Linked DNA regions of Caenorhabditis elegans. The protein of the gene in region 1 purifies or fractionates together with the protein of each later gene. This does not show direct contact. Each region holds a gene or a part of one and is shown on either strand. Other genes may lie near its edges.

Region 1 (7,943 bases):
ACGAATACCCCCGTTCCTTAACACCGATTTTCATCAAATTCCCATTTTTAAACGGTTCGTCCGCGAAAGTGACTTGGTCGGTTTTCAAATATTTTCACTTTTTTATGTCCCCATGAATAGATCTTTAAGGTTTAACCGAAAAAATTGAGTTACTGGCAGCCAATTGCAAAATTTACCTCAAACCGAGGTAATTAAACCGACTCGAGTGGTGCGCTGACTGCTTTTGCGTGCAAAGCATACTGGCCCACGCTAGCCCAAATTTTGTCGGCAGCACATTTCGCATATATCCGCACTCTCACATCTTATTTTTTAAGTAATAAGGGTACTAATATGCTCTTACGTAGTGAATGGAGATTTCCTTTTGTACATAATTATGCACTGCTCCCCACTACTAAATTTTGGATGGCTCATCAAGAGATGGGCCAAAAATAATTTCAAACTCACTGAAAGTGTCTTTTCTCTATTGAGGAACACAGTATGTTGTTATTAATAAATTTGCTCACATTCTCCGAAATAAATGTGAATTTGTTTGCTTCTGTTCTTCGAAATAAAGATCAATATATAATGAGTGCTTATCACCTCCGTTGTTGTCTAGTGGTTAGGATTTATGGCTCTCACCCATAAGGCCGGGGTTCGATTCCCCGCAACAAATTTTGTATGGCTAATCGAGGGCCAAAAATAACTTCCGATTAACTGAAAGTGTCTCTTTAGGATTTGTAAAATTTTAATGTGAGTTTTTCGAAATTCAAAAGAGAACAATTTTCTAAATCAGTTGAAGGAGGACTAACGGTTCGGACAATTTTGAACGTATAGACTCAAAATGAGCTCAAATAAACGAATTTCGTAATGAAGCTTCTCAAAAAAAATTCCAAAATTTTGAACCGCCATAAAAAAGTTTTGAAAATTTTTTGAGCAGTTTCATTACAAAACTCGTTCATTTGAGCTTATTTTGGGTCCATACGTTCAAAATCATCCGAACCGTTAGTCCTCCTTTAAGGACATATCTCTATTTTAAAATTATTTATCATGTTTCTCATTAAAATCAATATGTTTTTGGGAAAAGTTCAATTTTTAAAGTCACCGAAAAATGAAAACGAACATAATTTTGGAGCCACATATGATATATGGGTCTTCGAAAAACTTTCTGTTTTAGAGTTCCTATTTTTGAACAAGAACCCATTTTGAGGTACACAGTATGCTGTAAATGTTAATTTTGCTTACATTCTCCGAAATAGATGTGAATTTGTTTTCTTCTGTTTTTTGAAATAAAAATCAATATATAATTACCGCTATATGACCGCCATAAATAGTTTTGTAAAATCATTAATAAAAATTTCATTACCAAATTTGTTCCTTTCAACAAGTATTGATTTTATACGTTCAGAATACCCCGAGATTTCCCGTTAGTCATTGTTTCATTTATTCCAGAGTTGACCTGATTGAACGCACGCAACGCACTTTTTCTCTCTCGCCACACTTTGGAAGTGAGAGACGCAGCAAGAGATGTCTTCTCTGCCGTGCAGTGTTGTCGTGAAAAGGACGACAGAAAAAAGAGTGTGTGGAGGTGAGAGGGTGGGAGGGGTGTGAGACGGTTGTCCGTAAACACTCGCGCAAAAACGCGGGAAAATTTTTCTGGAGGAGGCCGTGCTGCACAGGTAAAAACCTTTTTAATTCGATCAAAACAATTTTATAAATTTGTTCGATTGGATTTTTCACGGAGATTTTTCCGCGGTGCTTTTATTTTTTTTTTGATTTGCTGTTATTGTTTGAACTGACTTCTAAATTTTGATCTCTTTTACTTTTCGATTCTATTTCCCTTAAATGACAATTATAACTTTGGAACATTTTCAGCAGTATGTCGGATGAAGAAGATATAGATGAAAGCTTTGAAATCGAAGAGGACGGAATTTCAATCACAGATGCCAGAGGGTAAGTTGTTGTTGTTTTTTTTTTTTTTTTTTTTATTTCCTTGGTGGCTTGTCCCAATGTCCAGTAGGAAAAAAGGACATGTATCATTATAAAACTGTTTAAAAATTTTCACATTTCCAAAGCTTTCCAAGCCCTAATTAATCCAACAAATTCTTGTTTAGAAACAGTCTGAAAGCGCAACAAATTGCTGGTAAAGAACGAAATTTGGATCCAGAAGCCGATGATTTGGAGGTAGTCGTCAATTTCTACGAAGCAGGCGACGGAACATTCCAACTACAACTGCCCAAACTAACAGCTGTGAAACCAGTGGATAAAGTCAATGATGTACTGGACTTTATCAATTTTGACAAGAAAGTATGCGATGGAATCCATTCATCAATCAAATTAGTTTCACGTAAGTTTAACTGCATGGTAACTAGAATTAATTCGTATTGTTGGTTGCGGGACAGTAGTAGATTTTTGCCAAAACCAAAAATTAATTTAACCGGGTTGAAACATTTTTGAAAAATATTTTTACAAAGTTTCCAGATGTTGAGAATTGAAAAATTTACCTACGATTTTTTTTTCACAAAACCTACGATTTAAAATAATTTTTTTTAAAGCTATTTGGAGTTAGGGTGTCTCATTTCAGTGTGATCTACTTAAATCTACACACAATGCGGGAGTTGAAACGCAGAGTTCTCAACCAATTTTGCATAGTTAAGAACGTGTTGACGTCACACTTTTTGGACAAAAAATTCCCGTATTTTTTTTAGATCAAACCGTGATGGGGCAGCTTGACACTACGTGTATACATAAAATCCATTATTGGGCCTTACTTTACTATATAATTTTCAGAACGAGATCAGACGGGACCAGCACCGTTTCCGAAGCATAAGCTGACGTGCGCCCATTGCGACTGGTCGTTCGACAATGTGATGAAGCTTGTCCGTCACCGAGGTGTTCACAAGAATGTGGGAGTCTACATGTGTCAAGTGTGCCTCACACTGTTTGGACACACCTATAATCTGTTTATGCATTGGCGGACATCGTGTAGCCAGACATCGACAACTGCCACGGATATCGAGATACAAGTAAGCACAAGTTGGTATTTTGAAACTAATGAATCCCCAAGCTCCAGAAAGCAGAAACGCCGTACCTTCATCGCAATGTGCTCAATGTTTTGGGCTCACTGAACCGAGCGTCGCAATACTACTGCACTGGTGGTTATGTATTTCTGCCGTCGGATTGGTGCATCACAAATAAGGAAATTGTTATGGAAAAGGATCATATGTCGTCGTGTCATTTATGTCACCTGCCTGTACCAAATAAATTTCTCGAAGCTCACGGAAATGTGCATCGGGGGCGATTTCGAATCGATGGACGTATCTACGGCGACTACTTTTGTCATATTTGTGGAACAGTTTTCATGTAGGTTTTTCGACATTTTTTTTCAAAAAATTGAAAGAACACTGAAATTTCAGAGAACAAGATAATCTATTCAAGCATTGGCGTTTGCATTGTGAAGAGGTTATTGCCTACACACCAGTCGACCAATATCTATCAAATACGGAGCTCGCCACACTCGCTTGGCTCGTCCTTCAAACGACAATCTCACAAGCCGATATTGAATGCTTGAGGGTCAGCTCGTCGCTGATCACTGAAAAATTGGCAAAAGAGCACGCGGAGAGACACGGAATCGCCAATAGTATGCACAAGTATTATCACTTTCCACAGGAGATTTGGCCCCTCAAAACGTTTGTCAATTTGGATTTGGTTAATGATGCGATTCCGATTTCAGGAGAAAATTCATTTGTGAGCACTTTTTTTCCATTTTACTTTGAGATTTGTATTATTTTCTAGCAAAACATTATTGGCGGGTCGTTTTAGAACCTATTTTGGAGGCAGGTAGGCACGTTTTCAGGGCCTACCGAAAATAGCAGATTCTGAGCTACGTTGTACATACCTACTTGCCTACTTTCCTTTCTGCCTACCAAAATTTTTATATTTTTTTTCACTGAAATTCAATCTTTTTTTTCAGAAGATAAAAGATCCCAAACGCCCAGTGCACATAATGAACTTGCTCGCTACGGCGTGTCCGGGCTTTTACGCAACAGGAAAGACGTTCAACATGATTTGCAGTACGAAAAAATCGGAATCAGACACGAAAAAGGTGTATCGCGTCATATTGAGATATACGACAGAGGGATCCGTTATTCAATCGGTAATTTGATTTGTGCTTTTTTTCGAAAAATTTTTTTCAGATTTTTCAGCACTTTTAGCTAGACGTTTGGGTATTAGCCAGTTTTAAGAAACTTAGCAATGATCAAACTTTTAATTCAAAATTTTGAATAATGAGAAATTTATTGGAAAGCTTTATGATAATCCAAATTCACTTTTTTTTTCTTCCAGTACGATTTCACGGCTCGCTCATTCCCCAAACTCCGCGTGGACTCGGAAACGCCAGAAGGTGTTTTTAGCCATCCGCTGGCCGATTTCAATGTGGAATCGAACGAGGCGATCGTGTGTCACAAGTGTGATAGTAAAAAGTTGACAATCACGTTCTCGACGGAAGTACGGTTGAAGTATCATCTGCTTCGACATTCGGAGTCACGAAAAGACGGTTATCATTGTGCGATTTGCAAGATTATGTGAGTTTGTATTGAATAAAACAATGTTGATTAGTTTGAGAGTGAGAATTGGATTTTAAAAATCTTCACAATTTTTCTTTATTTTTTGACCACTTCCGAATTGGCTAAGTAATTCCAACAGACGGTAAACGTTTGCATAAATGAAAGTTAATTTCAGAGTATACAATCGTAGTCATGAGGAGCACTGGATCAATGATTGTATTCCGCTCCAGAAATTGTATAGAGATCAAAAGGACCGAGAGTGCTTCGACGCAGAATTTGCTGCAAAATGTGCGAGCATCATAAAAAAGCTCAGAATACGAACATTGATTCGATGGAAGGAACGAGCGAACGAGGACTGGGTGGAGACGAAGCAGACGCCTGATCGTATCGGAGAAGATTTTGCTATAAAATTCCAAGTTGGTACCACTGCTCTGAAGACGCTGATGGCCGGGCTCGAGGAGCATTATAAAAATGCTCAGGCTAGACATGAGGCGTATAAGTACAGCGAGGAAAACTTTTTGCCGCCACTTTCGACGCCGGTCGTTGTATGCTTTCATTGTGGTAAGTGGCTCACCGTAATAGGAATGAAGAAAAATACAAAAAAAAGTTATTCGATCTTTTTTGTGAAAATCTGAAAGTTTAATTCTCTTCCTCTCTCTCTTTTTTAGTTTCTCCTCAAAACACCTTTTTCAGGCACCCGCTGTCATTATACGCTACTTCACGACCACCTTGATTATTGCCACTATTGGCCGCGTAACAAACGATTAGTCAATGAAGAATTTCATAAATGGAAGAAGAACGGCTGTCGAAATACGTGGCGAGTTATGGTAAGGGAGATTATTTGTGTTCTAGATATTATTAATTTTAATGAATTTAATGAAAATGATTGAAAACAATTTTTTAAAGTGGTGGGAGAAAGGTGTATGCATTTTTTTGGTTTTGCCACAGCTTTTAATTTTTCAATTATGTGCATATGTTTGAAGGCGGTTAATATTCAAAACAGGGGTGGGCGGCAATTGCCGTTCTGCAAATTGATTTGCCGACAAATTCTGCAAATCGGCAAATTACCGGTTTTCCGATTTGCCGGAAATTTTTAATTCCGGCGATTTTCCAGTTTGCCGATTTGCAGGAAATTCTTATTTTTGCCAAATTGCCGGTTTGCCGTTTGCCGGATATCAGATTTGCCGGAAATGTTTAGAGGGATTTTTCATAAGACGGAAACACTTAAAACTGTCTTTTCGAAAATTTTTCCGTTTTTTCTATACATTTTCATAGAATTTGCTTACTTTTCAAAATAAATGTAAGAAGATCATAGGATGCGTTTAATTTTGCCATTTGAAATTGAAATTCTGAAATTTCCGAAAGAATAAGTGCGAAACCACAGTTTGCCAAAATTTTTTCGCAAATTCGACAAATCGGCAATTTGCCGATTTGCCGACGTGCCGGAAGTTTCAATTCCGGCAATTTTCCGGCGTGCCGATTTGCCGGAAAAAATTGTTTGCCGCACACCCCTGATTCAAAAGCTTAGCTCTTTTTTTGGTTAACAAACTTAAATATATATTTTTTCAGAAAAGTGTAGCTGAAGCAATGCAAATTGAAGTGCCGTTCATATCTGAGGAGCAATACTCAAAGGTACAGTTTTTGGGGAATAATTTATCAGTATAATGAACAGAAAATAAAAAAAATAGCAAAAAATTCTGAGGTTCATATTTTTCAATGATCATTTCCAGATACTCGACTACCACACCTACTTTTGCAACGACACACGCTACAAGGTTCAGGACTCAATCAACAATTGGAACGATTGCTCAACAATTCGAGACGTTGATTTGTCCGAAAAACTTTCAGTTGCTGAAATTGTGCAAAAGGGCGAGGACTCAGTGATGGCTCCAGAACCTGATATAATCAAAAATGTTTACTTTCCGTCTGCTCGTATTATTACAGATAATATGCTGTTGCGAATGACAGAGGTATAGAATTTTTTGATCATTTTTTAAAATAGTTTTTTTTAGATAGACGATACGATTTTAAATATTTTTCTAGTAACAATTGGTAAATTCTGAGATTATAGCGGAATTAAACCTTTTTTTTTAAATTTCCTAAGAAACTTTTTAAGAAGGCACACTATGAAATTTACCTATTTGGTGCCTATCTGAGTAAAATGAAACCAAAAAAATATATACATATACACATTTCAGATAAACTTGAATGATGTCGTGCAGCGAGACCCAATCACCAAAGAGGAACTAACGGGAAAATTCAAGGAAGTTCAAGACGAGCAAGACGCGATTCTGTTTGGTGACTACCGTGCTGTTTTGCGATCGAAGGGTATTATGGTCAATTCGATTTCGGATTTTGTTGCTCCTCCAGATGAGCTTGCGAAAGCAAAAGCATCCCAGGAGTCTGCTGGTCAAGAAAGTGTGGATCATAGGAATCGAAGGGAACGAGAATTTATTCAACAGTATATGGGTAAAGATCTGGCACTCGAGGCGGCCGCCCGCGAAAATGGGAGACTCGTCGAGGTTGACGAAGAGGCGGAAGATTATGAACTGACTCCGAAGGAGCTCAACGCTCGAAGACTCGTCGAACGGAATCGTCACCGAGAGATGTGCAAAACGAGGTGTGAGCATGGCGAGTATGACTATGAAAAGTTCAAGGCGAGGCAAGTGCCCATTAATCCGGCAAAAATGAAGGAGCGGAAATATCTGACTCGTGTGGTACACGAGAGCGGCCCGGATGATGATGTGTGCCCAGATGAGCCGGAGAATAACATCATCGCGTTCTCACCAAAATATGAAAATTCGCTCAGCGACTTTCGCATAAGTGCAATTGGTTTCCGCGAAAAGTATTTGGCGGACGATAAAAAGAAGAGAAATGGAATTCCGATTCGAAAAATGACTGAGGCTCAGAAAGGTGTTGCGCTAGACTACGATACGTTGATGGCGCGACACGGAGGTCGTCCCGACGTGATAATGAACCCGGCCGGAACTGTTTTTGTGGGAGGATTTGTGTTCGATCGGAAACCGACGTGCCAGGATAACATGCAGACTGTTTATGTTCTTCGTAATGGCTATGTGAGTTTGAAAAGTTTAAGTAATGTTGATTTTGTTCCCCGGTTTTTTGAGACAAAATTTGACTGTCACGAGGGACAGGCAGAGAAGTATAATAGAGAAGTGAAGAAAAGCGGAATATTGAGCCTCGATATAAGACAGTCCCTCCTAACCACGTGGTGTCAGACTGCTCCGTTGCGGTTTGACCTACAAAAAATGCGGGAACGTTTTGCCCAAAAAATGTGACGTCAGCACGTTCTGAACCATGCGAGATCAGTTGAGCCCAACTGTGCTTCTCTACTCCCGCATTTTTTGTAGATCTGCGTAGATCAATCCGAAGTGAGACGCTCTG
Region 2 (7,990 bases), on another chromosome or scaffold:
AAATATCCGGAAAATCGGAAAACCGCCATTTTGTCGGAATTGAAAATTTCGTTTTACATCCAAATCCGTTTTACATCAAATTATACCCCTGTTTCTTCTTCTACAGTTCCCCTCCATTTTTTCGATTGCAGACTTTCTAGAAGTTTACATGGTTTGTGACTCTGTAATATGCTCATCTGAACCGTATGTTGGCAGATGTTCTTGCTCACAAGACCATCCGTTGTTTGATCTCTCATTTCCCACCATTAGAAGACCCGTTGTTGGCTGCAACATCAAAAACGAAATCCTCAATTACACGCAACTAACTGCTCAAATTATAAGCTTATCTATCATCTCAACAGAGGAGATCAGCTCATATTCTTCTCTCACACACCTCTTCTACCCATCACAAGATGGAGTCGTGCCAGCCCGTACCAGTGTGCTTGTTACCTAGGCGACCTGAGAAGTACAAAATAATCATCCGTCTCTTGTTTCTCACACCTTGTTAAAACTAGTCAGTTTTATACTTTTGTCTTCTGACTTCAATTCTCTTCTATTCTCTTCTTCATTAAGGATGCCCGGATCAACTGGTGCAATGGATTTGACGGAGCAAGACACGGGTAATCGCAGACAGTAATGCCTATCAGGACTTTAACTACTTGTTCTATTATAGACGAAGTTCAATAGAGATCGTACAGACACATAAATTGACAAAATTTTTGGCTCATTTCCTTCATGCTTCCATCTGGATTCACATACATATCTAATATAAAATTTCAAGTTTCACTCATCGTGTTAAACTACTTCTTATCAATAAAATCTAGTGATTTTTTTTCAATATTATACATATAAAAACCTCTCGGTTTTTTGGGGACCTCTTCAGCTGAAAACTCGTATACTTTTCCCAAAGCGTGATCGTTGATCGACTATCTGTAGCATATCGATTTGTACATCTAGTAATGGGAAACGTTTGCCAAATTTTCAAATAATTAGAATCTTTATCTCTCCAGCTCCTTAGTCTGGTACACCCAACCTTCTTCGCAACAATATTCCGCTCATCACCCACCCACCCATTGCTATGGATTCTCTCCGTCTCTTATTCCACTATTCTTTCTCTCACCCGAATCGTCTTGACCGCAGTCGGAGTCTGTCATTTCTCTCAGTCTCCACGTTCTCCATGCTCTTTTCCACTTTCACCTTCGTTCTCTTTCGTCGTCTGCCTCTAACCCCACACTCGGTCAGCAGTAGTAACAGCTCGCACACACAGACACAGACATACGCTTGCGCGCGCGCAATGAAATGGGTGTGTGCTCGTGTGTGACCGTTTCTTAACTTTTTTTTTGAATTTGACAAATAAATTAATTAGCGCAGCTTTCATAATCTTAAATCTTAAAAAAATTAACAAACTTATATATAGTTTCCAATGTTATCTGTGCCCTGATTTTCCTAAAGTCCGGAAAAAAAATTCGTTTGAATTATCGATTTGAATTTTTCCCCAACATTAAAAATTTAGTTTTCAATATTTGAGGTGAAATCATACTGATAACTATATAATATACTATAACATTAATAAATTTCTAGATGACTTTTTTCAATGTTATCAATTTGTAAACTGTGTGATTCAATTTTAAATATGAAATATATATTTCAAAATTTTTTGATTAGGTAATGTTGGCAATTGGCATTCAAAGAAATTTTGTCAGTTGATAATTACCAAAAAAATTTGATTGGAAGGGGTCGAAAGTTTGCCAGTTGTCAAAACATTTCCAAAGCTTTGCCTTTTTGGCAAAATTATGCACCTCTTACTCTCCCTCTCCCTTTTAATATTTATCAAAATTAATTCCTTTTTTCAGGTATGCAGCCGTTTAAAAGACGGGCGCTAACCTCGGACGATGATAGACCATATGCTGACACCGACTCGATGCCTGAAGTCGATCTCGACGTGGATCGCCGACGACAGTACATGGAACAGCTCAACATATTCGATGATGTTAGTTCAGGCGCGTATATGTTGGAACTTGAAGCGGCTGAAAACGGTGTGAAATATGATGAAAAAGAGGATCTTTTGAATGTTCAAATTCCCCCAAAATATGAAGATCAGATCTCGGATCCGGATGGAAATCGAATGATAATTCTGAATATCTACGTTGAGAACTTTAAAAGTTATGCTGGAAAACATATTCTCGGACCGTTTCACAAGAACTTGACAATGATCCTGGGACCAAATGGAAGTGGAAAGTCAAACGTTATTGATGCATTGCTATTCGTGTTTGGATTTAAAGTGAGTTTTTTAAATTGAAATTTTTATTCCACAATATACATTGTTTCAGGCTGGAAAAATTCGTACCAAGAAGCTATCAGCATTGATCAATTCAGGAGGGAACTACGAATCATGTTCAGTAACAATTATGTTCCAGATGGTGAAGGATATGGTAAGTAGGTTATTAAAGCGGGCCTGAGATCCACACGATTGAAAACAAACTAATAACTATCAATATCAAAATTAATTTTCAGCCTGTCGAAAATTACGATAAATATGAAGTGTTAACAGATAATTGCGTCTGCATCACCCGCACAATAAATCGTGAAAACAATTCAAAATATCGTATTGATGACAAAGATGCATCGCAAAAAGACGTCCAGGAGCTTCTCCTACGTGCTGGAATTGATATGACCCATAATCGATTCCTGATTCTGCAAGGAGAAGTTGAAGCGATTGCACTAATGAAGCCAACATCCAAAAATCCGAATGAAGAAGGAATGCTTGAATATATTGAGGATATTGTTGGAACCAATCGTTTTGTCGCACCAATTTCCAAACTAATGCATCGGGTTTCTCTATTGGAGCACAAAAGTTCACAATATGGAGCCTCGTAAGTTCATTTTAATATTATTAAATACCACAAATTTTGGCACGGATGTACCACATAAAAATATAAAGCATGGAAATTCAAATTGAACTAGGAAAAAACAAAAAAACTTTGCGGTTTCAACTTGAAATATATTAATTTTCTGAAACTTAAAAAAATTTCAAATTAAAATTCTTTCCATTTCCAGTGTTCGCCGCCACGAGGGACACCTAAAAGTCTTTGAAAAGGCAATGGTTATCGGGATGGCCTACCTGAATACCTTCAATAATCTCAACTACCTTCGTGGAATCCGTGTCAAGCACAATTTGTGCCGTTATGCTGAAACAATGAGGGACGCCAAAATGAGTCTTGTCACTCGAACAGGAGAACTCGAAGAGAACAAGGATATCATGCTTGAGGCAAAGGATGAAGTTCGGAAGAAGGAGACTCACGAGAGAAGCCTTAATAGTATTGTCACTGAGCTGGAGAATAAAAGAATCGATTGGCAATCGAAGAAGAATGACTGGCATGCACGTGATGCTAAGAGAAAGCAGGGGCTCAAGTCGTGTACTCAGGACCTTGGGAAGCTCATGAAGGAGCGGGATGAAGCTCGTCGGGAGAAGTTTGAAATTGAGACGGCTCCAGAGAATGCGAGAATCTCTAAGCAAAACATGCAACTCGAATGGGATCAGCTCAAGGAGCAGGAGAATGTGTGTCAGCGGACAGCTACAGAGAATCTCATCAAGTATGATCAGAAGTCTAGTGCCGACAGAGCGAAGCATGATGATCTGGAGAAAAAACTCTCAGATGAGCTTCTGCAATCGATGCGAGCAAAAGCAGAATTGGACGTTTCTGAATCAGAACTTAAGGATATGACGATAATGATGGAGCAGGGACAGAAGAGAGTTGATGAGCTTAAAGGGACATTGCAAACAATGATGGCTGAGAACATTAGAGATAATACGTAAGTTTTATTTTATTTTATTTTATTTTAACCAGCTTTTAAAAATTCCCCATATCCTTCCAGTGAGCTAAACGCCGTCACAACTGAGCTGCAAGATAGAAAGCTGAAGTTTGACAAAGCTGTCGAGAAGCTTCCGCATTTGAAGTCTACCGAACAACTTTTGAGAAGCAAGAAGTATGAGCTGGATCAAGAAGTGATTGAAGCATCGAACACCCAGGAAGTTACGTACCGTCATCAGGCAACCGCAAAGCTTCATGAACTGAAAGAGGCTGGATTATTTCCGGGCTTCAAAGGTCGCTTGGTAAGTTATTCGATTGGGAGTGAGTACCTGCTTTGAAATTTGATTAGCTGTGAGCATCCTGGGGTAATCTGATGTTCCATGTAAGTATGATTTTTCTGGGAGAAATACATTTTAAATAGGATCTTTCAAATTCAGAAGCCACACGTTTAGTCTGATTTCGAATTGATTTTTTTTCGAGGACCAATTTAAAATTAATTGTCTTACAGGGAGATTTGGCAAGTATCCCAATCAAGTTCGACACCGCAATTTCAACAGTGTTCTTTGCACAATTGGATTACCACGTTGTGCAAACTAGCGATGAATGTAGAATCGGAATTGGCTTCTGCCACGAGTACAAACTTCCTCGTACGACGTTTGTCTTCTTGGATCACTTGAAAGATACTGATACTAGCGGAATGGATTCTACAATGAAATTGTTGGTAGTTGCCTTTAGTTGCCAAATCTAATTAATTCTTATTTTCAGCCCAGCCGAACGACTTTTCGATAAGATTCACTGTGTAAACCCTGAGATTCGCCGCGAATTCTATTTCTTGATCCATGACATTCTGGTTGTTGACAGTCTTGAAGAAGCAACTCGAATTGATAAGAAGTATCCTGGAAGGCATCGTTATTGCACACTGAATGGCTCAATTTTGAACCGAAGTGGAGCATTGACTGGTGGTGGAAAACCGACGACTGGTCGTATTCGAAATGATAATAATCCAAACATGAGTGGAGTCAAAAAAGTTGATTTGAGCAAGCTAAGAGCCGCACAGGAGAAGCACAATCACGCACTGGAAGCTCATTTGAAGTTGCAGTTAAAGCAAGAAGAGATCCGAGCCGACAATGGTCCGATTATCAAACAGCTCGAGATTCGTAAGCGTGAATTGATTATGTCCACCAAGGAGCAGAAAACACGGATTGCCGAGTTAAAGGTGATTTATTTTTGCGTCTCTTACTGAAACACAGAAATTTTCGCTGTTCCGATTTTCTTGAAAATGGATATATCGAAAAAAAAACTAGATTTTATTCAAAATTTCCATTCTAATTTTTTAATTATTTCCAGAGCTCAATCGCAGCACATGAGCGCCGTATGGTTAACTATAGAGAAGTGACCGTTGAGGATTTGGACGAGAAGAGAGCTCAAATTGCAGATCTGAAACGTCAAGTGGAGGAGAGCCAAAAGTCTTCAGCAAAAATCAAGCAGCAAATTGAGCAATACAAACGGAAAATGGACCGAATGTTTATGGAGTTGGTCCAAAAAAATAAGGACTCAATTGAGCAGGCGAAGGATCGAATGGGACAGCTGGAGCAGGACATTGCACGACAAACTGCAATTATTGAGAACAATCCATCACATTTGGAGCAGGCCGAGAAGAAGCTTAGTGAGCTGGAGCATATGTGTCTGGAGAAACGTAGCGAGGCAGATGCATTGGCTCAATTGGAAGTTGGAGAGGATGTAAAGGGAATTGATATTATCAATGCGCAATTGCAAACTTCAACGGTATGTTTAATTTCTATAGGACTAGGATTCTGGTTAGGCTTATGTTTAGGCTTCGACTTCAGTTCAAGCTTAGGTCCAGGCTTAGGTTCTGGCTTGAGCTCCAACTTAGGCTTTTTTTAGGCTTAGGCTTTAGCTTGGTGTTTCCAACCTTGCTCCCTTAGTTCTAGTAAACATTTTCGATTTTTTTTCAAAATTTTAAACCACTATTCAAACAATTTTTGCGCTTTTTTAAGCAGTCTCCTTATGAAGTTCGCCATTTTCGAGCTATTCAGAATTTACCAATTCAAGCTTTACTATTTTCTAATTTTTAATCTTCCAGGCCAGCATTGATGCACAAAGAGCCAGGTACACTGAAGCGGTTGCGGCACGCCGAGAAGCAGATGCAGCCTATCAAACCACAGTTGACAACTACAACATGGTCAAACAGACTTATGATGAACTGATGAGAATCATTGATGACTTGGAAAACAAGACAATGGCGGATAATGCAGAACTTGATATTATTGAATCTGCATGGATGCAACCGGAAAAGCTCTATCCACCTGGCAAATTTGTCAGATATAATGATCCAGATATTGCGGCCAAAATGACTGATGGGTACGTTTCAGAAGCTTTGGGAGATTTTCCATGTGCAAATTCAAATTTATAATCACTGAGTTTTTAGGCACGTTGTACTCCCATATGAATGCATCAGTATGATCGAACCTCACCGTGAAGCTTACGAAGAGCACGAAGCGAGAATGCTTGAGGACGATGTTTTCGAGGACACTGCTAACAAGATTTGCAAGCTGGAAAAAGATGTTGACAAGTTCCGGCGGGAATTTGATAATAAAGGTGTTCGGGATTATGCGATGATTGTGTCGCTTCTCATGAACGAGGTGACGTCAGCGAAGAAGTTTAGCGATAAGCTGAAGGCTCATCGTGAGAAGCTCAACGAGTTGAGAATGGCGAGATTCAACGAGTTCAGCGAGGCGCTCGCATTCTTGGGTACTACTACCCAAATGCTTTACCAGGTGAGTAAGGGGTACTTGCCTGCTACCAGGCTGACAGGAAGCATTTTTTCTGTCAGACCCATTGCTTTAAATGAGATTAAAAGAAACAAGTTATTTGCTTACAGCTTATCACCAATGGCGGAGATGCTAGTTTGAAGTTTGTGGAAGAAGGAAAATCTACCGATCCCTTCGATGGTGGAATAAAGTTCAGTGTACGTCCCGCCAAGAAATCCTGGAAGCTCATCGAGAATCTATCTGGCGGAGAGAAGACTCTGGCCTCTTTATGCTTTGTCTTTGCAATGCACCACTACCGTCCAACACCCCTCTACGTGATGGATGAAATCGATGCGGCACTGGACTTGAACAATGTCAGCCTGATTGCAAACTATATCAAGCATTCCGAGCGAACACGGAACGCTCAATTTATCATAATTTCGCTTCGAAATCAAATGTTCGAGGTCGGAAATCGCTTGCTTGGTATCTATAAAATCGATGGAAAAACTTATAACATTATGGTGGATCCGATCGCGGTGGAGATCAAGAATCGTCCGATTTTGAAGATTTTCGAGGAGGAGATCAAACGGCGCGAGAAGCTACGACGTGCCGAGATTGAACCGGAAATTGATTTGAGTAATGGGCTCAGCAATGTCGTTATTGCACCAAAACGTAAGTAATAATTAGTGACATATCAACTGCACTTTAATTGTAAAATACCAAATCAAAGTAGCAACCAGTCCAACTTAAACCCATCTCAACAAATACCAATTTTCAGGTAAACAACGCCGGCTGGAAATGCTGAAACTCTCGGACTTTGGTCTCGATGATGACAGTGATCTTCCTGAATTTAATAGATTCCCACCCGCAACTCGTCGTGAATTAAGTGTTGAGGATTCAGATGAAGACGATGAGCCAGTAAGAAGACGTCCGCGTCGTCAAGTTGAAGAGGAAGATGAAGAGGATGAATTGATCGAAGAAGCAACTCCATCTCCACCACCAATTGTCGTTCAACGCCGTGTGCGAAGAAGCAGACATTAAATTGAAGTAATATATTTTAAACTAAATTTTGAAAAAAAAAAGAAAACTTTGTGAAAAATCCAAAAAATGAGACCAACTTTCTTTCAAGCTTGTATTTTTTAATATTCGTCTAGCTTAATTTTTCCTTGTGATTTTAATTATTTCCCTTTTTAATATATTTCCATTTTGTTGTATATTTTGTGAAACCCCTATATCTTTGCATCACGTACTGTCCAATCTATCTCATTTTCTTAATTCGCTGACAAGGTAAATTTTCGATTCACGATTCACAAAAATAATTATTTCATTTTTATTTTAGAACTACATTGCAAAGTTTTTCCTAAAAAAAATAATGCCATCAAAAAATAATTTCCTAACAAAGAAAATTTCCTAAAATTTCGAAAGCTG

The links.
Region 2: the proteins of sdc-1 (region 1) and dpy-27 fractionate together in Caenorhabditis elegans (co-fractionation; one large-scale study listed by BioGRID). This does not show direct contact.

The regions. Positions count from the first base shown.
Region 1 is NC_003284.9:16,273,918-16,281,860, forward strand, and holds the start of sdc-1 (C2H2-type domain-containing protein), read left to right. Parts: upstream 1-1,845; 5' UTR 1,846-1,855; coding exon 1,856-1,929; intron 1,930-2,090; coding exon 2,091-2,323; intron 2,324-2,766; coding exon 2,767-3,002; intron 3,003-3,043; coding exon 3,044-3,339; intron 3,340-3,392; coding exon 3,393-3,723; intron 3,724-3,949; coding exon 3,950-4,132; intron 4,133-4,320; coding exon 4,321-4,559; intron 4,560-4,716; coding exon 4,717-5,102; intron 5,103-5,234; coding exon 5,235-5,368; intron 5,369-6,110; coding exon 6,111-6,173; intron 6,174-6,271; coding exon 6,272-6,511; intron 6,512-6,739; coding exon 6,740-7,615; intron 7,616-7,943. UniProt on the Caenorhabditis elegans protein: Embryonic transcription factor regulating downstream genes involved specifically in the sex determination and dosage compensation pathways, or regulating other genes involved in the coordinate control of both processes.
Region 2 is NC_003281.10:3,813,522-3,821,511, reverse strand, and holds dpy-27 (Chromosome condensation protein dpy-27), read left to right. Parts: upstream 1-1,832; 5' UTR 1,833-1,834; coding exon 1,835-2,260; intron 2,261-2,309; coding exon 2,310-2,411; intron 2,412-2,493; coding exon 2,494-2,852; intron 2,853-3,036; coding exon 3,037-3,792; intron 3,793-3,855; coding exon 3,856-4,093; intron 4,094-4,299; coding exon 4,300-4,508; intron 4,509-4,556; coding exon 4,557-5,007; intron 5,008-5,138; coding exon 5,139-5,576; intron 5,577-5,895; coding exon 5,896-6,173; intron 6,174-6,240; coding exon 6,241-6,589; intron 6,590-6,693; coding exon 6,694-7,234; intron 7,235-7,340; coding exon 7,341-7,603; 3' UTR 7,604-7,868; downstream 7,869-7,990. UniProt on the Caenorhabditis elegans protein: Central component of the condensin I-like dosage compensation complex that associates specifically with hermaphrodite X chromosomes to reduce their gene transcription throughout development.